Regions from separate parts of the Mus musculus genome. Here all the other regions are reported to be linked to region 2. Evidence: microRNA targets listed by miRTarBase, many of them from high-throughput screens and not tested one by one. Region 2 holds a microRNA gene; each other region holds the end of a gene's coding sequence.
The links. The annotated mature microRNA mmu-miR-466f reads ACGUGUGUGUGCAUGUGCAUGU and lies in region 2 at 3,068-3,089, shown strand. An mRNA with a match to its seed (bases 2 to 7 or 8) in the 3' UTR can be bound and repressed. Matches are read on the target gene's strand: a 7mer-m8 pairs with bases 2 to 8, a 7mer-A1 pairs with bases 2 to 7 and ends in A, and an 8mer does both.

Region 1: miRTarBase lists Mbnl3 as a target of mmu-miR-466f. Seed matches in the 3' UTR shown: 7mer-m8 at 6,254-6,260 and 8mer at 6,296-6,303.
Region 3: the mRNA of Eogt is a reported target of mmu-miR-466f. Seed matches in the 3' UTR shown: 7mer-m8 at 1,880-1,886 and 7mer-m8 at 2,176-2,182.

The regions. Positions count from the first base shown.
Region 1 is chrX:51,114,261-51,122,059 of GRCm38, reverse strand. Mbnl3 (muscleblind like splicing factor 3) reads left to right here. Exons shown (of 8, transcript NM_134163.5): 8 at 1,042-7,799. The coding sequence ends at 1,053. Among named protein-coding and RNA genes, the nearest start is that of Mbnl3, 88 kb to the left of the region's middle.
Region 2 is chr13:71,104,041-71,111,839 of GRCm38, forward strand. Mir466f-4 (microRNA 466f-4) reads left to right here and starts at 3,049; the gene lies at 3,049-3,169. It overlaps Gm40997 (a long non-coding RNA gene), which reads right to left and starts at 2,387. Exons shown (of 3, transcript XR_873655.1): 1 at 2,308-2,387.
Region 3 is chr6:97,105,482-97,113,280 of GRCm38, reverse strand. Eogt (EGF domain-specific O-linked N-acetylglucosamine (GlcNAc) transferase) reads left to right here. Exons shown (of 18, transcript NM_175313.5): 17 at 498-600; 18 at 1,075-3,257. The coding sequence ends at 1,221. Among named protein-coding and RNA genes, the nearest start is that of Eogt, 40 kb to the left of the region's middle.

The DNA of each region.
Region 1 (7,799 bases), not on the chromosome of region 2:
CTTTGCCTAGATCAGGGACCATTAGTAGCACACACGTAAATCCAAGGGGTTACTCACGGGGAACACTGTTGAATATACCTAAGAACCCTAGACAGCTAACAAACACGTGAACCGTTTGGAACTGTGTTCTCAATGAAGTAAGCTTGAATGGCTCCCACCTGCAGTCTAGCATTTGGTTGGAGGAGGCAGCTGATCGGCTTGCTTGTGCCCTAGTTACCCATCTCCCATCAAGAGGTCCCTGATACTGTTTCAGACAAAGCCCACAGCTATTGCACCCTATATAAGCAGATTCCCCCAATCATAAGGAATGTTTTCCAACAAGGTGGAAAAACTGAAGGAGCTAGAAGTTAGAATCATTTTGCAGGTGTTATTTGGAATAGCAGCAACTTGGGAAAGCATGACAATGGAGGTTTGTCCAGTGCTTGCTAAGTTCTCAAAGGGAGCTATACATCAAGGCAAAGAAAATTGAACGTAATTGCTTTACGTAAAATAGGTTTGGGAAGAATGATTTGTTTTTCCACTTGATTCCTTTGGTAAATGAGGTGTTTGGCAGAGAATAATCATATTCACATGTGACAGTTGTGGAGATTTTCTTCGAAGATCAAACCTGTCACTTTGTATAATAGTGTATGACTTACTCAGGATATTTCTACAAAGGTGTAGGATCGTTTGATAAAAGTGTAACACTGCTTACTATTGGAACTTTTCAAACTGTTTGGTATTAAGTACATTTTGAAGGCACGTTTCTTTTGAATGAGATGAACCAATATTTAGGTGATGAGCAAAAATTTTGGCATTATATAGATAATACCTTAAAAATGGCCCACCATTGGAACCTCCCATAGACTATCCCAGCAGTGTGTCTGTTTAATGATTTAATTAGCCCACTGTCACAGAGGGTCTGAAATTCAGAGTGAAGAATATCTTGGATTATTAGTCCATATATAGAAGTGGAATAAAAACTTGTGTCAGGTCTCCTGACACGTTGTTCAATAGCCCTTCAGTATTTCTTACTGACTCTTGTTTTGTTTTCTATTTCAGTTGAAATATTGAGCAGCAGAGTTACAGAGTATCAGAATCTCTCAACAAGAAACTCCGTGTGGCCTTTCTATATGTATTCTCGTATGTCTTCTTGTACCAACACGACAATAAGCATGGTGCAGTCAATATACTAAAGCGCATATACCTGTTGACAAATTCAAATTTTAAAAATCTGTGGAGATGTTAAAGCAAATAGAAAATTAACCAGTATGTGTTACCTTATACGGATTCATTGTATATGAATTAGCATACAATATACAACCATACAGGTTTGTCATGTATATGAATTATCAGATCCATATTACATGAATTTTCCATATGATATGAATTACCATATTGAATATAACTGTAAAATGTTGTGACTGCTTTCCAGTAATGGTTTATAATAAATGAACTTCCACAGTGTACTGTAGGCTTACTGTATACTCTTGGTGGATAAATTCTGTTTTGGAAGTGTTACCTTACTGTTTTGTTTACAAGATAGTCTATAGGATTGATGTAGAATGTAACTGATATTTCCCACACCATTTTCCTCCATTGGTATATTGTATTAAATTGGGTTCTGCTTAGCTCTTTCATGCTATAGTGTTTTCTTGTTTATACGTGATATTTGATTTCAATTAAAGCATCATAAGTGGTGAACAGAACTATATGTGACTGAAAAATGTGACAGGTTCATGGTAATATGCCCTCTTTAAAACATTTCTGCAAGTTTCCGGAGGCCTCACTTCTGAGTGTGCACAAAATCTCTTCATATATAGAATTTTACCTGTAGATCTGACCTTGCATAGTCAATAATATACTAAATTTTTAAAAGAGAAAAAAACTTCCCTACATGTGATAGGAAAGTTCAAATGTTAACCTCAAACCATTCCTCTTAAATAATTTGAGAATCAAGTGTTCACATTCCAATAAATTTCTTAGCATGTATAAAAATTACGGAGAGTAGCCATTACATTTATTGTGTTACAGGAATCCTATCTCTCAGCTTGAGTGTCTAAATTTGAGCCATTTGTCATCTTCAGCTGAGAAACTGGTACTAACTACTTTAAAGGTATACTAATCACAGGCTGAAAATCAAGCAGAGAGATGTGGGCGTGGAGACAGTTTTTATGTACTGGAAGAAAGTGTGTAAACCCTTTGCATTGTAACCTTTTGCACAAATGCTGTTTTCCAAATGCAAATGGCTCGTGCTCTTTTGACTATTCTTTGAATAATAAGTAAGATGCAGTCTGGCAAAAGTCAGGCCAGGTGAAAGAAAATTGTTTCCAAATGAGGCCTTGCCTCCCCAAATGGACCATCTTTTCTATTGATCACAGAAGGAGGCTGAGTACAGGTTTAGAGAAATGGCAGGAATGGGGGCAGGGAGAGATTTAAAATGACTGGGAATGTGCAAAAGAACTAGAAAAGGTTTCCGAAGTTGTCTTTCGGTTTAGTTTAATTTAGTTGAGTTTCCAGTTTTTGTAAAGGCAGCAGTGAATTAGCAAGCATTTGTGCTACTGTATGGACAAGGGTTTCTCTGCCAAAACTTTAACATCAGAGGGTTGGCTGTGGGGGGGGGAGATGATGATTTGTTCAGTTTTGTCTCAGAACCAAACCTATTTTTGTCACATCTGAACTTACTTGCCTTTGTGTGTGTTTCAAAATTAGTTTTAACATCCTTTGGTTAATAGAGAATAGCAATAGCCCCATGGAGGTGTGATATGAATTCTTCTTAACTAATACTTAGGAAATAAGCTACAAATATGGTAATCCATCTATTTCTGTGACATATAGTGTACTTCTTCTACTTAGCACTACTATTGTTATAAGAGGGAGGAAATGTATTTTCCAAAAGCCTAAGTAAATTGAATATTTTATACTCAGTATATATTCTCCCACCAGAAAGCATAAAATCAAATTTTTGTACATATAACAGTTGTTTTTCTTCATGAAAATCGGGAGGAAAGAGAGACTGTCCAGGATATCATAAGACAGGTAGTTGGATTGATTTGCCAAACAGTGACATTGGCAAAGACTTTATTGCCTTTTCTACGGTTGGTAAAACAGAGAGCCAGACTGTGTGACTTGCCTCAGGCTGGCTGCCTAGCCATTGTGGGAACCAATTGCTCTCCCTCTTTACATCTTTCTTTGGAACATTTGAGACTCCTATGCAAAGCAGATCAGATCGGCTCAGCATTTTAAAAAAGCAAAACTACCTCTGGTGGATGGTATCTCATTGATCTTAATTATCCAGGTGAATCCTGGTTACCAGTGATTGCTAAATACTCTTGTTTTTATATTGGACCTCCGCCCTTTGTTGACTATTGCCTGGAGCTAAGAGATTGAGAGTTGTCTGTCCTTTTACCTGTGGGCTCTTTGAACCACTATATTTCTGTTTTCTAACATCGCAATTCCAGGAAGAATCTACCTGAGCTAGTCTAGATGTAGTTATTAATGGATATGGAAATGTTTTGTGCAAAATAAACTTTTTGTAGTTTGACACTTTGGTGCAACATACTATCTGGTTTAACTTCTTAAAATTTTGATCAAGATATATGTAGATGATAAACTTAGAGTAGAGTTGTTCTCTTGTTGCTCTAAGCACTGGAAGATATTAATGTTGACTTATATTTAGGAGGAGATTCAGTGGGGAACATTCAGGGTAGTTGTCTTTTTGGTGCGATGAGTTTAATATAAGTGTTAGCATTTTAAAAGTTGCAATGTACATGAAGCTTAAGAAAGCAAGCTCAAAACTCGAACATTTTGATCAAATTTGATGGAGTTTTGAGGGAAATGAAACTTTAAGCTGGCACTCTAGTTGTGCAGTGACTAATGATCTTATTGAAGAAAAGACAAGTCATTTGACTATAAATTGAGTTAACCAGACCAGTCACAACCAATCAGTGACTCTAAATGAAAATTTACCCAAGTATTTGTATATAAACCAAATTCTAATCAGATGTGATTTCTAGTTAGCATTTTTTAGTTTTTGTGTTTTGCCATGGCCTCTATTTTTATTTCTCCAAAATTATTGGCTTTGTCCATCTCAGCCTTTTGCCAAAATTTGCAAGAACACTGAAACTTGGATAAAATGTGTCAAACCTACAAATAAGCAATCTAAATTTGTCATTTAAGAAGAGCTTAGTTTCAGTTTTTGCAAAAAACCATGAGACCGTAATGAGTAGGAACTAGAATGAAATTGAATGGATTCGTACAACTGCTATTTAAATACAGTGTTTACTTTTGAAATTGGAGCATGAATCCACACCTAGCTATTGCTTTTCATTTGACTTTTCTAGATAAATTTTCAGTTTTCATCTATTCATGAAAGCAGTCTGCTTGCTATTCCATCAGTCTTGCTCTGCCGTTCATCTCTGAGCATCCTAAAACACTGTGATCTTGCCATAAGTGTTGTCCTATGCCACTCGACTGTGTCCACTCATGGGACCCTCAACTCTCCTGCTCTCAACTCTCAGCAGGAACCAAATTAACTTAGTATTTTGTGCTTGGGTTCACTTTAACAGCATAAGGAGTGAGACAGTGCTGTTTGGAGGACGAACAGCAGCTACAGTACATTGTAGGAAGGGAAAGAGGCAGCTGAGGCGCTCATGAGCTCCTCGGAATGCCAGGTGATTCTCTTCCTTGTCTTTGGTGAGTGTTGGTAAGGAGGCCCCTAGACAAAATGCAGCCAAGGTTGTCGAAGATCTGGCGGTCTGTGGGATAGGCTGTGGCATGCAGAAGGCTTACTAACAAAGTTCTCGCTCCACCTTTAAAAAAAAAAAAGAAAGCTCTTCTACATTTCACTGAAATGGAAATGAGTAAAATTGGGGGGAGGGGTGTCTGATTCGGTTTGATTCATTTGATGGATTTGATTCCAAGTTTTGATTTGTAGATTTAATAAGATAGTGGCCTAATTTTACCGGAGTCTGTTAGAGATAGTAGAATAAAATAGCAAATAAGAGAGTTTAGCTTTTTTTTTTGAAAGTTTAGTAGATAGTCTAATCAAACTATAAACTGTAAATGTGATTATAAATACAGGCTCTGAGTACCAAGTTACTAATTGGTGCCATGTTTTCGTTTTTCTTATTGTTAGTTTTTAAAGTTTTAATTGTACTACATTTTTATATCTAAGTATCCAATGAGTTTAATTTTGAAGGAGAGTTGGAGAAGGTTTAAGGTTTTACCACTTCTATTCAGACCATCTCTGTAGGCTCTAAACTGAGACCATAGCGTAATTCAGCATAGATACAGTCCAGAACTACCCTCTACAATCCACAGTTCAAGAACAAATTTAGCGTTGTACACAAATGATAGATGTCAGCTAAATATATTTAGTTGTTGCCTTGGCAACAAAACTACAACATGGCTACCTTTAGACATTTATGCATGTAAAACTTTTATGTGTAAGCTATATGTGGTTCATGACAGTGCAAACATATTGAAGATACAGCTCAAAACTCAGAAAACTGATGATGTTTTTGAAGCCCTGTGTTCCATATATGAAAGCTGAATTTGTGTCCTCATGTTAACATTTGATTCGAAAAAGAAGTTTATAACACATGGATTCTAGAATTGGGCTTTATCGTTTAAAGAATTGGTTGGGTTGATAGGGTTATTCTACAGTAGAACAAGCTCGACATTGATATTGCCTGGCCTTTTTTTCACAACTTTATTCAAAACTACCTATTCGTGTAGTATCTGTAGTTATAAAAAGATTATATTTTCTGGCTTTATTCACAAAAACTATATGTGAGGATTAAAGCATAAGTAAACATGTTGAGATTAACCCATGGTTGTGAAGCCACACATAAAGATACTATAGAAGAGCCCCTGAACAGTGTTTAAGAGACATATGCTGCAGTTCCCCGACTGTCCCAGTTAGGGTGCGAATGTGTGAGACCCATCTTTTTTTTTTTTTTTTTTTTTTTTTGCACTTATGTACATAGTCCATGAAAGCAATCCTTGGAGCTTTTGACAATGTAAGAAGTCTGTGGTAATAGAGGAGCATTAGTGAGAGTGCTGTTTGAGGCTCTAAGAATTAGTGGAAGCATAGTGTAGCAGTACTGTTGAGGGGGCTTGCTAGCTGGCTACAGCCCACCAGAAGCTCAGACTGCTAACACATGCCAGATCCCCCTAACAGCACTGAGTGAGAATACAAAGCACTTCTTTTCGTAAGGCTACTAGCAAAAGTTATTTGCTTTTTGAATTAACTCCCACTGTAAAAACACACACACACGCACACACACACACACACACACACACACACACACACACACACGAATGCTTATACTACATAATGGATAAGGTTCCCAGTAGAGATTTTCTTTTTTCCAATTATAGAAAGAAGAGAAACTACTCTGTACATTACAAGCTAGTTAGTTACTCTCAAATCTAATTAAAACAGATCTCATCCTTCGTAGTTTAAAATTATATCAGTTAATGTGGATTTAAGTGAAAAATTGTTAATGTTTTAACTAAACAGAAGTGAAGCAGCCCAAATCTTATAGAAGATGGACCCTGGAAAATGATGTCAATTTAACCTACTCTGCCAGTTCTCACTCCACATTTGCAGATAGCCAAGGAGCCTTCTTGTTGTTCTCCAAGGCACTGAGGCTTAGCAAAGTTGGAAGTTTGAAAGGTTAAGGGACAGATCATCTCTGGCACTTTGAATCCTTCCCATCTTAAGACAGATGTCTTTCACACTAAGGACCCCATCCTAGGCTAAGGGTAGTTGTGAAATGTTGCTTTTCATACACTGCTAACTCTCTTGGAGGCATATAACTAGATCTGCACCCATAGGTCATTAGTACAGCACTTGCCTGGATGAACAAGGCCCTGGGTTCCATCCCCAGGACTGCAAAAGGAAAAAAGGGGGAAGAAAGAGAGAGAAAGATGGAAAACAGACCAAAGCTACAAACAACCCAAGCCTTACATGTATCCCGTAGCTCAGGGCCAGTTGGCTAAAAATTATTTAATTTTCCCTTCAGCTTCTGATCACTAAGTCAGTTTGTTGTATGGCTATACAACAAACGCCCTGACAATCTGAGCAGCTGTTTTTAGCCAATAGAAGATGGAAGCATATATTCATTTTATAGTTAAGAATGCCCACTTCAGCCTTACTACCCCCATAATTTCACTACTTCACCAGCATCCTTACGTGGACGTTTCCTTGTGAATCTCTAAGTCATAAGAATGCATCTTCATAAGGACAATAGAAAGATGAAATTTTGTGTATGGTGCTGAGAATACAGCCCAGGGCTTTGTGTGCTATGCAAATGCTCTAACACCCTGGTTAGCCAGTGATAAGATTTTAAGTCCAGAGCTATCAACCATAAATTAGTAGGGATGAGCCTTGAAGCATCACAAAAGATAGCCAATGAATTTATAACATGTACATGCCCACCACCACTTGGTCCCATGCTGAAGCTTAAACATAGTGACTGTATTTCAATCATTCAAACAAAGGAGAGGATTAAGTATAACGAGTGCATGTGATTCAAGCTAAAAGATAAATTGGGATTTAAGTTTGACAAACTTAGCATTTCTAGCCCTTCTGCCTTGCCTATAAGTGAATTACCCACTGGAATTGAAAATCTAGATTATCCCAAAGAAAATGTATGTGTATAGAGAACCCTTCCTCAATCATAAAAGATGAAAAGTGCTTTGGTCTGAAATAAGTTGCCACTCCGTATAGATACTTCAAGAATCCTCACTAGCCCTCTTTTACATTGTGTTACTTTAAAAAAAAATACCTCTGTAGCAAGACCTAGAAGAAT
Region 2 (7,799 bases):
GAAAATATTAGAACACAGGAGAACATTTAATTAATAATTTGCCCTAATGTCTGAATTTCCCTATGGATGTATATACCTCTCTCTCTCTCTCTCTCTCTCTCTCTCTCTGTGTGTGTGTGTGTGTGTGTGTGTGTATGTATATATATATATATATACATATATATATATATAAATCTTGAATCTTTGTCATATATTAATATTATTAAATATATATTATACTTGTAGTGAAGAATCTATTGCCAGAGCAAAAGGTCCCTGAACTGTTCAAACATCTTGAAAACACTCGGGTTCTAGAACACAGAAATCATGATGGTGCTTTAGATATGATCTGTTCTAAATCCAGACAGTTTTATAAGCTGGGATGCTTTGCTTTCCTCTATGTGCATGTGTGAGAGAACGTATTCCCTCCAACTCCTAGAAGGTGTATGTTTGTCTTGTAGGATGTGGCAGAGTATGTTCATGCATAGGGCACATAAATATTAATATTGAGTTGAGAGAAGGCAGTGAAGGGGAGAGCACACCCCAGTGAGAAGCCTGCTCCGGCTCTAACCAGCTGTGTAATCGCCCAGAGATGCTCAGCTCCTGAGAGCTTCCGCTTTCTCAAGTGCAAAATTTGGAAATTAGGCTTAGGACTTTGCAAACTCCTTCTCCGGGTCACAGGCCACGGGTGCCTTGAAGTTAGATCCTTCACAGAGCAGTTGCACCACGCCGGGACAGCCTCCTCCCACCCTGCAGTTTAAATTGAGAGAGATCCCTGGATCTTTTCCTTCTGAGTCAGCTGGGAAGAGAGAAAAATAACGTGGAGAACCCTGTGGTTTCGGGAGGTAATTGTGACAATTTCACGGGCTGTTTGGGAGCAATCGTTTGGTTTCCCTGGTGCTTCAGAACATTTGGGGGCTTTCCTAACGTGCCTGCTTTCTTTTTCGTCCTCAGAGTGGCTCGATGCTCTAATACTCGAATTTAGAAGACAGATGAACAATGAAATAAGCGAGACGGCACTGCTTCCTTCATGAACTGTAAATGAGGAAAGAGTGAACGCTGTAATTGTGACTTGGGTTCCTCTGGATTACACTAGCTCCTCTTCCTCTCGTGATGTCCAGCTGCCCTGCAGCGCCTGGGAATTTACTTAAAACATGCATTCAAAATCTTTATTAAAATACATTCAGCAACACAAAATCAAACGGCTCATTTCTCTTCTTGCCTCTCCCCCCTACTGTAAAGCTAAATTGGACCGCGGCCAAGGTCTCTAAAAAGCACTGTGGCTTTTAGGGAAATCATTTTTCCTTTGTGAGCAGCGGGGAATTTCACAGACCCCTTTGCTGGCCTCAGCGAAGGGGAAACAGTGTCCGTGCTTCCGAAGGCGGACGCTAGGTGGCAGCCGAAGACAGCCTTTGCCCCGTTGGTGCACCGCAGCTGCCAGGGTGCGAGGCAAACATTCTTTAACAGTTGGAACCAATAAAAATCAGCTTTTCCTCTTAATTACTGCTAAGTGAATACCTTCTGATACAGCAGTCAGATGGCAAAGCTGATTACGGAGCAGGCAACTTGCGCTTGAGAGCTAGAAGTCTCTAGAGTGAAGTTCCCTTAAAACCCTTCTCATACCTGAACCGTGAACAGCATTGCTGAAGTCGGGGGAATCCCAACTTCAAAGACAGAACAGTGGATCTGACCTCCTGAGTAACCTCCTTAAACCTGAGATTTATTTAAGGGGAGTGGTAACAGGAAAAAATAAAATAAAATAAAATTAAAACAATCCAGATGCGCTGCAAGTCCTTCCTCTGGAGAACGTTGGCCTTAAGTTTTCTGTGTTTTTATTTTTCTTTGGGTAGGGTCGGTGGGGAGACAGGGGCCTTTTGTAGTCTTGGACTCTATATGAATTTGAGACAGTCTCTGCCACCTGAGACTTGTCCCTAAAACACAAACTAAAATGCGGATAGTGCCTTCCTCCTTATTAAACACATCACTCCAGGCAAAACCCAGGCAGCCCCAACAACACAGCTATTGTGCCAATGGGCAGAACCATGTCTCGAGCAGCGAGCAGGGGCATTTCCCCAGTATCGAGCAGTCCTCGTAGCTTCTGATAAATTATGCCCATCACTCAAAGGTAACAAAAAAAACCTTCATGCAGACGGGAGGGTCATGGAAATCTAAGGACAAATAAACACTTCAGGAAGGGTCTGGGGTAGACAGAGATCTCAACGGGACTTGAAAAATAAGTCTCAGTGAGCCCTTGTCTTCCCATTGCTGTAAAGAGACACCACGGCCAAGGCAACCCTTTTAAAGGACATTTAATTGGGGCTGGCTTACAGGTTTAGAGCTTCAGTCCATTATCATCGCAGCAGGAAGCATGGCAGCATCCAGAGAGGCATGGCGCTGGAGAAGGAACATACCTTATTCTGAAGGATGCTAGAAGACCAGTCTTCCAGGCAGCTAGGAGGAGTGACTCAAAGCCCACCCACACAGTGACACACTTCCTCCAACAAGGCCACGCCTGCTCCAACAAGGGCACATCTCCTAATAGTGCTACTCCTCGGGTCAAGCATACTCAAACCATCACAGGCCTCCTTAACAGAAAATGTGCAAAGTATGTCCTGTTCAATGCTAGGTTTTGATTGACATACATCCTCATTTCTGAGACTGGGCCTAATAAACAAACGTATGATCCAATCACATTACGTGCTAAGTCCTCTCCCTCAGCTCCTGATGTTTTCCAGGGGGAATGCAGGGTGTTTACAGCTACTGAAGTAGAGTTGCAACATCTTGTTACAACTAATTAAATAAGCATCCTGTTTCTCTAACTCCTGTTGCTCAGAGCCCTCATTTTGATATTTTATATCCATCCACGTTTGAACAGTAAATGCCCACCCATGTCCTCATGGCCAAGTGCAAGATTCTGTTTGCCAGTGCCCATGAAGCTGTGGTTAACATTGTGTGTGTGTAGGTGTGTCTGTCATCCTGTTTATCTGTGTGTGTGTATGTATCTCTGTATCTGTTCATCCATGTATGTGTGTATCTGTGTATGTGAGTGTATCTGTATGTGAGTGTGTGCATCTGCATCTGTGTGTCTACGTGTGTGTGCATGTGCATGTGTGTGTATCTGTATGTGAGTGTGTGCATGCATGTGTGTGCATCTATATCTGTGTGTCTACTTGTGTGTGAATGTGCATATGTGTATGTATGTGAGTGTGTGTTTCTGTATGTGAGTGTATGTGCATGTGTCGGCATGTGTATGTATATGGGTATATTTCTGTATGTTGTATGCACATGTGCATGTGTGTATCTGTGTATGTGCATGTATGTGTGCATGTGTGTATCCCTGTATGTGACTGTGTGTGTGCATGCGTGTGTGTGCATGTGATCGTGTGTGTGTGTGTGTGTGTGCGTGTGTGTGTGTGTGTGTGTGTGTGTGTGTGTGAGTGTCTCCATGTATTTGTAAATGGGTATAGGTCAGACCCTGGGTGTCTTCCTCTGTCTCTTTCTATTTGTTTTTATGAATTGGAGTCTCAGAGAACCTGCTCTTCACCCATATCAAGACTGGCTGACAGGAGGCCCCAGCATCGCTCCTCCCAGTACCACTCAGAGCTAATGTTACAGATGGGCCGCCATGCCTGACTTCTGAATGGTGCTGGAGATCACAACATTGGTCCTCAGACTCGAGGACACTCACTTTCCCAACTGAGCCATCGCCCCAGCCCCTGACTTGTAATTTTTACATCGCATTTTAATCTAGACCTATATCATAAAGTATCTGACACTTCCTTCTAGTTTTATATTTCATTGTTATATTGGGCCCCAGTGGGTCAATTTTCGCAAGTTCTTTCAGGTACAGTTTGAAGCTGTTTTATTGAACCCTGTTGTTGACAGATGAGCCTGACATGCCTACCCTGTCTTTGCTGCCCTATCAAAAATCAGCTGTAGGCGTGTGTGTCTGTGAATGCGTCTCTCATGAGCACACAGCGACTGTACAGAGCGAGAGGTTTCATTATAGCTTTCGCTCATGTGACACAAAGCGCTGTGGCACACCCACCCTCTTCTGGGTTTGTTTCTCGCACTCTCTTCCGCTTACACATTCACAGGGTTTTCCTCTCCTGCTTCACATCCGTTTGTTACTCCTGTTATGTGCACATGTGCACATACAAAAAGACAGAGAGCCTGTCTGTGATGACTGGCTTGTTTCACTTAGCGTTGCTATGATCTCCACCTTTAGACATTTTCCTGCAGACATCCTGACTGCATGCTACATGATTGAGTGAAACTCCACTGAGTCTTTTCTGTAGCCTCATCTGTTGATGGATGCCTGGATTGGCCGCATGAGTCAGCGATTGCCCATGCAGGTATGTGTGGTAGGCTGATCTTCACTCGTTGGCTGTATGCCCAGAAGGGCACAGCAGGATCACATGAACGACAAACTCTTACTTCCACTGAGTTCATAGTGGCTGCTCCAGCTCATGACCCCACCAGTTCTTTACCAGCATTTGCCTGCTTTTCCCTTAGAGCAGAACCGCGGCTCTCAATTTTCCTAACAACTGCGACCCTTTAGTACATGTCCTCATGATGTGGTGGCCCCCAACCGTAACATTATTTTTGTAGCTACTTCGTAATTGTAACTTTGCTATTGTTATGAATCATAATACATATATCTGATATGCAGGATGTTGGCTACGCAACCCCTGTAAAGGGTCGTTGGACCCCCACAGGGTTGTGATCTCCAGGTTGAGAACTGCCGCTGCTTTAGTAGTTGTGAGTGATCGTTTCATCCGAGGGATCCCACTGGCTAGTTCTTGCTCCTGTTTGGAGTCCTGTTTAGAGTCGTTGTTCATTCCTGGACTCTGGAGTATTCCCTGTTTTACTTTAGGAGTTTAGGTGTTTCCGGTCATACACTGGGGTGGGGTGGGTTTGTACAGGGTGAGAGAGCAGAGCCTTCTGTGTGTGAAGACGGACATCTCCACACTACTTGTTGAGGAGGCTGAATTTCCCTGTTTACTTTTGGATATTTGTGAAGAATCAGATGGTTGTAGCTGTGTGATTGGGAATCTGGAGCTGCAATTCTATCCTGTTGGTCTCTCTTTGTATGCTGGTATCATGCTGTTGTTAATGTTTTGGCCTTGTAATGATTTCTTTTCTCTTCTCTTCTCTTCTCTTCTCTTCTCTTCTCTTCTCTTCTCTTCTCTTCTCTTCTTTCCTTTTCTTTTCTCTTCTTTTCTCTTCTTTTCTTTTCATTTTTCTTTTTGGTAATTTTATTTAATCATTTATTTATTTACACTCTAGATTTTTTTCCCCTCCCAGTCCACCTTCTGACTTTTCCACATCCCATACCTCCTCCCAGGCTTCCTGTCCCCATCTTCCCAAACCCCCACCCCACCAGATCTCTAAACCCCAAGGAGCCTCCAGTCTCTTGAGGGTTAGGTGCATCTTCTCTGACTAAACACAGACCCGACAGTTCTCTACTGTATATGTGTTGGGGGCCTCAGATCAGCTGGTGTATACTGCCTGGTTGGTGGTCCAGTGTTTGAGAGATCTCGGGGGTCTAGGTTAATTGAGACTGCTGGCCCTCCTACAGGTCGCCCTCCTCCTCAGCTTCTTCCAGCTTTTTCCTAATCCATCCAGCCACGGGGGTCAGCAGCTTCTGTCCAATGATTGGGTGCAAATATCTGCATCTGACTCTTTTAGCTGCTTCTTGGGTCTTTTGGAGGACAGTCATGATAGGTCCTTTCTTGTGAGCCTCAGAAATAGTGTCAGGCCTTGGGGACTCCCCTTGAGCTGGATCCCACTTTGGGCCTGTCGCTGGACCTTCTTTTCCTCAGGCTCCTCTACAGGACATCTCAGTCCCACTTGGGAGGGAAATGAAAGCAATCACAAAGAGGGAGGGACCTGGGAGGGAAAGCGGACAGGGGTGGGGGGAACCTGACCTGGTATTGAGTGGGCAAAAAGAACTGAAGTCTTGAGGCCCAGCAGAAAGAATGGAAATAGGCAACTTCGGGATGTAGAAAGTTGGGGGGACCCTTCACAATGCACCAGAGACCTGGGAGGTGAGAGACCCTCAGAACTCAAAGGGAGGGATCTTAGATAAAATGACCTACAGTAGGGAGAGGGAACTTATAGAGCCCGCCTCCAGCAGAAAGACAGGACATCAAGTGAGGGATGGGGTTGCCATCCCACAGTCACAACTCTGACCCATAATTGTAATCACTTTTGTCATCTCTTCCTTTTGCTTAGCATTGATCTGGGTAATCAAGGTGTTTTGTATTTTCGTATGACTTTTGGGATAATGTCGTCATAGGGATTTTGATGGAGATTATTGTGGTTCTGCGTGTCCATCTAGAACTCTTTTCTTGACGTTTTCCCATTTTCATAATACTTCAGCCCTAAAGTTCTACTCCAGGAACAGTATACAGGCGAGGTTATATTGTTTATCTGATTTACTAAATTCTTAATGTAGTTTTGATGCTCTTTTGTGTCTCATAAGGATTTAAAACACAGTGTGTCAGTTTCTGCCAGAAACATCTGCTGAGGTCTCTGGACCATTTTGCAAAGCAATGGCATTATCATGATGCTAAGCCTCCCACCCCCATGTAACGTGAGCGTCTATGGTTTCAAGTCTCTGCAAGTTCTCACAAAAGTCACGCGCGTTCCAGGGTCCAGTTTCTGCACGTTGTTTTCATGTCTATAAATGGTATTTTTATAAATGGTTTTGGTATTTGATTTTTAAAATTCAGATTATTCATTTATAGTGGATAGAAACACAATTAGTTTTTTTGTCATTTGTTTATTACAAAATTCCCTAGTTTCCGATTTTGGAAGTTTCTACCAGAGTTTCTGCGTAATAGTTTCATTTAAAATAAAAATAATTTGCTATTGTTCTCCTATTTTTGGTGATTTATGTTGCTGGATGGTATTGACCAAAATCTCTCAATGTAGGAGGAGGGAGCAGACCACAGTGGAGCGACTCTGAAGGCAGGGGAGCACGTTGTTGCTCTTCCGAGGGGTGAGAGTTTGATTCCCTGCACAAACATAAGGCAGGGGGCTACCACCTGTAACCTCAGCTCCAGGGGTCTGATACCCTGGAGCACACACACACACACACACACACACACGCAAACAAAGTGGATTTTTTTCAAATATTCATAGCTTTTTCTAATCTTGGAGGACACAATAAGTTGATTATTATTAAATAGGGTAATAATTAGCTATAGACGTTTAATCGGTTTTTTTTATGTGTATATGTGTGTGCTTGTTTATGTGTGTACCAAGTCCACACAGTTGCCCGAGGATCCACAACAGTGGGTTAGTTCTCCTGGAGTTGGTATTGCAAATCACTGTGTACTGCTTGGTGTGGTTGCCGGGAACCGAACTCAGGCCCTCTGTAAGAGCAGTCCGTGCTCTTAACCATTGAACCACCTATCCAGCTCCATGTTGTCACAAGCTTTTAGGAGCAGATTTTTATGTATGTTTTTAATTCTCCATTGCTGAGAGTATTGTACCTGCATTGCTGGGTGTACATGTACCGCATCACAGTCACCCTTTGTCCCTCAGTGAGTGTGACTCTGAATCCCAATATACTCTATTGGGGAAACCACCACATCACACAGAGTTCCCTTACACATTCCTTCCCAACCTCCCTTTCCCTGAGCTTCCTGAACGCTATCCCACTGAGTCACCACCAGCTAGCTTCCACTCTGGGGGAGTTCTGCGACCTGATGTTGCTGGCAGTCTTTCTCTTCTCACTCCTGATGAGGTTTGCTAAGTCACTCATCTGGTTCTAGCAGCTGGCTAAGCTCACCTGTGTTCCCAGCACATGC
Region 3 (7,799 bases), not on the chromosome of region 2:
GTGGGGTGTGGATGAGATATGGCAGCCCAGCAGACCTGGGGTGGGCTATCTGCTTGCTTCCTTAAGCAACTGCTTAACCTGTAAGGTAATGTACTACCTCCTTGGATACAGAGAGGTAACATATTCTTTCCATGTATGTAAAGATAATATCTTACAAGACAGTCTCCAGTTCACAGGCAGTAGGACCTATCGAATAAGGTGCCCACTCCTCAGTCTTACTCTGACTCTTTAAAAATCAAGGCAAGGTATTGAGGGTATGAATTTAAACTCATTTTTTTGCGCTGTACTCAAACCCAGGGCCTTATGCATGCTAGCCCAGCATGACCACAGTGCACCCTGAGAATGTGTGTAAAATTCTTTCTCTCCTGTTTGTTATTTACAAAACCTTTAGTAAGACCACATTTGGGAAGTGGATGTTTTCCGCCATAGAACATTACGCACTAGGGAACCTCCTGGTCAAAGGCCTCACATCATGTGTGACACCCTTGTGTCCTTAGGTACAACTGTGAAGATGAGCGCTGCTACTTAGACCTGGCCAGGCTCAGAGGCATCCACTACATCACCTGGCGGAAGCCCAGCAAAGTATTTCCTCAGGATAAGGTAACATTCACCAAATGGTTTGGAGTCCAGTTATTAAAATGCAAGCCATCACTGAGCCTCTGTTCGTCTCTTGAATACTAATATTTTTTATTTGCAAGTTAGAGAAAAATCTCAATGTTGTTAAAACAGCTTACATCAGTTTACATACAGCAGCCATCAGCAAACAGTAGCTCTAATGGTACAGATCTGGCCTACGAATTGTTTTTGTAAATAAAGTTTTATTGGGTACCGCCACATTTGCCTGCATATTGTCTGGGCTTGATTATGCATCTCCTTGGCAGGGCATCTATGACTGAGAGCAGATGGTTGGCAGAGCTGAAACTATCATTGGGAGCTCTGTGGGAAAAGCTTGCCAGCCCATGTTGTACGGCATAAGTTGAAACAGTTGCGTTAGCCAAAGGAAAATGATTTTACGTCTATAGAAAGACACACCCTTCGGTGACTCCGGGATTTTGTTCTGGTTTGTTTCTGCAGGGTCACCATCCAACTCTGGGAGAACACCCGAAGTTTACCAACTACTCTTTTGATGTAGAAGAATTCATGTACCTTGTCCTTCAGGCTGCAGAGCATGTACTGCAGCACCCACAGTGGCCATTTAAGAAGAAACATGATGAGCTATAGAAGTGTTGAGGTTGTTTCCAAGAGTGTTGACACCCTCTCACAGCCATAGACTCACAATCAGAGGAGCAGAACAGCCTGTCATATCCTACTGTAAGAGGAAACATGACGTTTTACTTCTGAATATAGCTCAGGCTGACCTTGAACTAGTGATCCTCTTGCCTGAGCCAACTGAGTGCTCACCTTACAGGTGTGCCCCACCATGCCTGTCTACAGAGTTACTTTTTGTATATGAAAGCACACCTCCAGGAGATGCTAAGTCTTCCATGTGTTTATTGTGTCTTTGCTATTTATCAAAGGTATTTTTGCACTGAAAAAGGTTACTTTTATAGTTCAAAGGTGGGCAGATGCCCATTGGTGTGGCAGAGCTCTCCTGTGGGGATGCAAAGTTGTCAACATCGGTGGCTTCAGACTTGATATATGTGTTTGTTAACTGTAATGTGATCTTGATTCCAGAGTGTCATGGCTTCATCTATTTGGATAAACTCATCTATTTGGATAAACTCAGAACTGTTGTTATTTGCCATTGTATGTTCATAAATATGGTTGTAGGGTCTGGGCACATGGCTTAGTGTAGAATGCTGGCCTTGCATGTATGGGCCTCTGGGTTTAATCCCTAGCAACACCACACACACACACACACACACACACACACACACACACACACGTCTAAGTCTGTGATTCTCAGGACCAAACTATAGGACTACGTTATAGACCAGTAATTAGTCAACTCCAGATTCCGTGCATCAAGAGCCTGACAAAGATCATGCTGTTGTATTTATTAATTTTGTTTCTATATCTCATTTCAATCATGTTCTCCCCAAATGTAATGGCAGTGTTGATAAGAGCCTGTCAGAACATTCTGTAGTACCATCTCCACTGACGCTTCAGCCGTGAAGACCCTTCATGCTGACTTGGCATGAAGTCTTAGTTTCCATCAGGCCAGTGTTTGTGAGCACACACGGCTGTGTGTATCTACCTCTGGCAGAATGGAAGTAACCCTAGTCTCTGTAAAACACTGCCAAGTAGCCACATGAAGAGAAGACACTTTCCCTGTTTATTTGTTTTTTGATTTTTAAAATAAGGCCATTAAAAACACGGTAGACCTGTGAATTATCCAATCAAAACAAAAGCCCCAAGAAAGTGGCACTGAGCAAACAGGATGCCCAGCAGCAGGCTTCCCCTGGACTGCCTTTGTTTCTTACTGCTAAGCACATAGCTCAACAGTCAGAAACCATGGGTTTGTTCTATTGTACAGTGTGATGCTTGTGTCTTATTAACATCTGCGGCATCTCATTTAGAAGCTACTTTTAATTTTTTTACAATGCACTTAGCAAATCGCAGCCAAGGACTTCATTTTTTAAATTTTAGAGAAGCGACCTACAAAATAAAATATTGGTGACTAACAGCTCCTCGGAGGTTTGCTCTCTTTTCCTTTCAGGAATTGTTAAAAGAGTTGTAGACTTTATTTATTAAAATACCTTTCAAGGAAATAGTGGCCCTCTATAGGCAGGACTTCCCTTTGGGTCAAAAAAATTCTTTGGAAAACATTGTAACATGAGGAATTGTTAAATGACAGGTTTGCTGCTGTTCCGGGTGCAGGATATTAGGTAGGCAGGGGAAGAAGGGGCTGTCCCACAGGAAGGGGAGGGAGTGGAAGGATCATGTTGCCCCGGACATCGAGGACAAACATCTGAGACTGTGTCTGGAAAACCTTCCTTTTACCTCATTTCAAGCTGCACAGGGACCTATGTGTTCACAGACTACCGAGGATTCCAGAAACTGAGGACACTTTCATACTGAAACCGTATTTGAATATTTTGCAATTAGAATATACTTTATATAAAGACAGTCATTTAAAATTTTAATTAATGGGATTAACTTTTTTATCAGACTTTTGGTGGGAGCAGAAGATCTGCAGATTGTTGTAAAATCTAAAATGTAGATATGGCCCTTTTTTATTAAGTCTGTAAGGAGATGCATTTCACTGTACATTTTGGGTGTAGCTTTGGAATAAAGTTTTCTATATTTCATTTACATATCTGAACATCTTCAGGATTTTCTGTGTTTGAATGTCACATTCCTGCTTTAAAAATAATCTGGTGGCTTGCGCATAATTAAAAAAAATTAGCTCACTGATGAAGGATTCAGTGTAATCAAAAATTATACCTCACATTTATTTAGTAGTTGTATTATCTGATGCTTCCACAAATGTGGCCCTGCACAAACTTCACCAAGATAATAGGACAATGGCTTTCGTGAGAAAGTCAGGGGCTGGAGAGATAGCCCAGTGGTTAAAGCACAGGATGCTCTTCCAGAGGATTCAGGTTTGACTCCTTGCACCCACAGAGCAGCTCACAACTATCTGGAATTCCAATTCCAGGGGGTCCGACGTCCTCACACAGACATACATACAAACAAAACACTAATGCACATACAACAAAAATAAAACATTAGAAGCGTGGTGGTGGTGGTGAATGCTTTTGATCCCAGCACTTAGGAGGCTGAAGCAGGAAACTCACTGTGAGTTTGAGGCCAGCCTGGTCTACAGAGTGAGTTCCAGGACTGCCAAGGCTAAAGTAAATGAGACACCTTTAAGTGATGCCCTGAAGGTTTCAGGCCTTGCAATCCAACACAGATTCTTTGATTGCTCCTGCAATCAATGCGGAGCCAGCTGCTGCTATGTACCAGTTACTCTCAGTGGCCTCTGGGAAGACAGCTTAGTTTCAGGGAACTTAGGTTTTGGTAGTAAAGATGGGCACTGAGCAACATGGATATGGGAAAACACAGTGTTCCAGACCCTGGTACTGCCGAGGAGAAAGCCAGGGTAAGGAAAGGGTGTGGGGTCTAGATGTCAGTGGAGACCTGCAGGCTTAAGTATAGGGTTCTCATGGAGGAGGTGACAGTTGAGTCTAGAAGGCTACAAGGAGTGAGGGATGGAGGTAGGAAGATGGTCTGACAAAGAGCATACCCAAACTGGAGAAGGGCAAATGCGAAAGTCTCCAGGCAGAGCCTATGTGTTGAGTTTGAGGACCAACCATTGTAGCTGATATGATAGAGGAGAGACAGAAGTTCCATAAAGGATAATGCCACATGTAGACAGCAAAGCTCTTGTCTTTTCATTCTGATGAGGCATAGATCACCGAATGGATCTATACAAAGGAGTAAGGACCTGGCTTTCCCTTGGACAGTGTAACTCATGTTGTTAGACTGAGAGCAGGTAGCAGACAGATGTCTTAGGCTGAGTTCTTGGGATAACAGATTCTAGAATGAAGGGTTGCAAGCTGATGGTTTATTGTGGGAGGATTCTCATAATCATAGTTGAAGAAGCACGAGGTCCAAAGGGGGCAGGGGAAAGCATCACCTGGAGTTTAGTAGAGAGACATCTTTAGGGGCACTGTGGTACGTACGATCTTTCAGAGAAGTCCCAATGGATATGGGCGGTACAACCATCCATGTTGGAGCCATAGAAGGGGGAATAGGGAACCTTGACCAGGGCAACTCTCCAGATGGGGGCAGTTTTCAGGAGAACAGGCTGCTAGAATCCACCAGCATCCCCTACAACCTGGAGGCTGAGAGCCTGTCTGCAGGGAGAAGGCAAGACACAGTGCACAATATCCACAGCCAGGAGAGGGCAGTGCTTGGGCTGGTTCCATTCTCCCATCAGTTTCTGGCCAACTAGAAGTTTGAGTTTAGAGTCTTCATTGCATGCAGATTTTGTCTCTCTCTTCCCTTCCCTTCCTTTCCTTCCTTTTCTTTCTTCTCTTTTTTCCTTCCTTCCTTCCTTCCTTCCTTCCTTCCTTCCTTCCTTCCTTCCTCTCTCTCTCTCTCTCTCTCTCTCTCTCTCTCTCTCTCTCTCTCTTTCTTATTTTTAAAAAGTAACACAGATAACACCATGAACTTCAAGCTATAGATTGTTAAGGGTAAGGACAGTTCTTATTTTAGAGAGTAATTATTTCAAGGTTGGTGGCCATACTTGGGTTCTGTTGAGTATTATCAGTTAACTCCCCATTCCTACAATATTTCTAAAGTCAAAAAGATAATTCTCCTATAAGTTTAAACAGAGAGGGTAAGAAATGTACCCAAAGCCACCCAGCAGGCCACAGAGAGGTGGATGGAGGGGGTTCTTTGTGAAGAGATTTTACTAGGGATGCTTAAGAGTAGGTATGGAGGGAGGGAGGGAGGGGAAAGTTAATGGAGACCACAGAGCACAGGGAAAGATGTTCTTAGGTTTCTTACAATTACCAAGCAGTTTTCTTTGAACACAGGGAAAATAGAAAAAATGTTTTTCAACTGGAAGCCTGTCTGTCAGCTCAGGCGTGATTGCTGCAGTTTAGTCACTTTCCTCATTACGGCGTCAAGATACCCTACAAAGGCAACTTAAGGAAGGAAGTGGCAAAGATTAATTTTGGCCTAGAGTTCAAGGATCCAGTCCATCATGGTGGAAGAGTCATGGCAGTAGGGGTCTGAGGCAGCTGTCACATTGCACCCGCAGTTCGGAAGCCCACAGAATGAGGACTGGACTCAGCTTGCTCTCTCCTCTCTCCTCAGCCCAGGGCCCAAGTGGGCAGCGTGGAATGGTCTTCTTAGCTCAGTGAGACCTTCCTAGAAACACCATCAGAGACATAGGGGTGTTTCTATTGTTATTCTGTATCTAGGCATGCTAATGATGGTGACCGTCACAATTGTCCTGGAGCGAAACCAATCATTTAAAACAACTTCCGGGGGTTAGGCTAGGGACATAATTCTGTTGGTAAAGAGTTTGTCTCAGGTGTAGTGATGCACACCTATAATTCCAGCGTTCAGACATTGGGCTCAACTTTACGGTCAGCTTCAGATACTGACGTTGAGGCCAGTCTGAGCTACATGAGACCCTTGTCTCAAAAAACCACCACTAAAAACAAAACATTTCAACCTCCCTCAAGCATGAGATGTCGCCAGAACACTCAAGGGCCACTTCCCTCTAGGCACCTCAAAAGATGAAGTCATTATTCTTAGCCTAAAAACCCCCAGCTGAATTGAGCATTTGCTTGCTCTGTTTGATCTTGCTCACTGTGGGCATGTGTACTTACTGGCCACAAGGTGGCAGTCAAGACCTTCCAAATGGTGTTTAAGGCCTGTAAAGGCTGGGAAACTTTTGGCTTCTGAGTCTGGGAGGAAGGCAAGGCTCTCATTGTTGGGGAAGATTTCATTCTTCAATTGAGAGAACTTGGGGACAGCTTTCAGGATGACTGGGAATGTATGTAGGACACCTTTGCGGCTGCCAGCAAGTTGTGAAAGGGGCAAGTGCTTGGTGACCCCCCCCCCCCCCCGCAATAATTCTAGCCTCAGGAGCTATTGGTGGGGAGGATACATTCTGGAGAGCTTGGGGGTTTGACTGGGATCTGAGCTCTCCTGGAATTCTGTATGTAGCATGTCAACACTTGAGTCCGTCCCACTTAGAAGCTAAATTCTTTCTGATGTTGGTCTTATCATTGCTATTATTTTATTTGAACAGAACTCTTAAGTGGGTGAATTCACTGATGGTAAGAAACCTAAGAATTACAGAACATTAAGGTGGCACGCTAAGGTTGAGTCCACGTGGGTATGACCCGGTGCAGGGCTTTTCAGGTGTGTTTTAGTTGTTTGTCTCCTTGATGGGATAAGATTCCTGACATAAACAAGATGAGAAACGAAGGAACTGTTTTGCATGACAGTCCGAGGACACATGGCACCACAGAAGGGAAGATAGGAACATGAGGCGGCTTCTGTCACATTGTGTCCCCAGTGGGAAGGAGAGATACTGCAACCAGCTTTTTTGGCTACTTTGTGGGTTCTTTTTTCTTCCACCCTTCTCCAATCCTATTTCACTCTTCCAAACCCTCCCAAATGCTAGGTAGGATAGAAGGAAGGCTAGAGAGGAAAGGGGGCGGGGTCGATATCATTAGACCACTTCCTGCTCATTAGGGTCTTGGAGTTGCTCAGGGCAGGTTTGATCTCTGCTGTCAGGATATCCAAGTTCTTCTTCTCTCTTTGTACCTGATCACTCGACAAACTGCAACAAACCAGAACAACAGCTGCCAGCAGCAGGCACCACAAGCAGCTGCCCTGAGCGGGGCCCATCTAGCATTTATACGCTCTTTCAAGAGTCTCTAAAATTCCAACTGTCATATACTTGCTGAAACGATCTGCAGCTGGCAAAGTCATGCTCCTGCTACAGCACGAGGAAAGTTATAGTCAGCTTCTGTGCATAATTTAAACTAGTCCCATATCCTACACCTGGAATTAAAACAAAAACATATTCCTATAACACTTCCGTGTTAAAAAAAAAAAAAAAAAAGAAGAAAAGAAACCAAAATTCTCACGACCAAATACTCAGGCGGCTTCCTTCCTTTTATTCAGTTTGGGATTTCACTCACATTCAGGCCAAATCCTTCTTCAGCTAAACCTTTCTGGAAATGCCCCAGTAGACATAGCCACACGTGTGTTTCTGGAGAGGTCCTAGATCCTAAATAGGGTTGACAAGGAACGGTAACCTTTACAGAGTGTTTGCTTCATTTAGTCCGCACAACTCTGTGCTCCAGACTGGGGACTGAAAGACA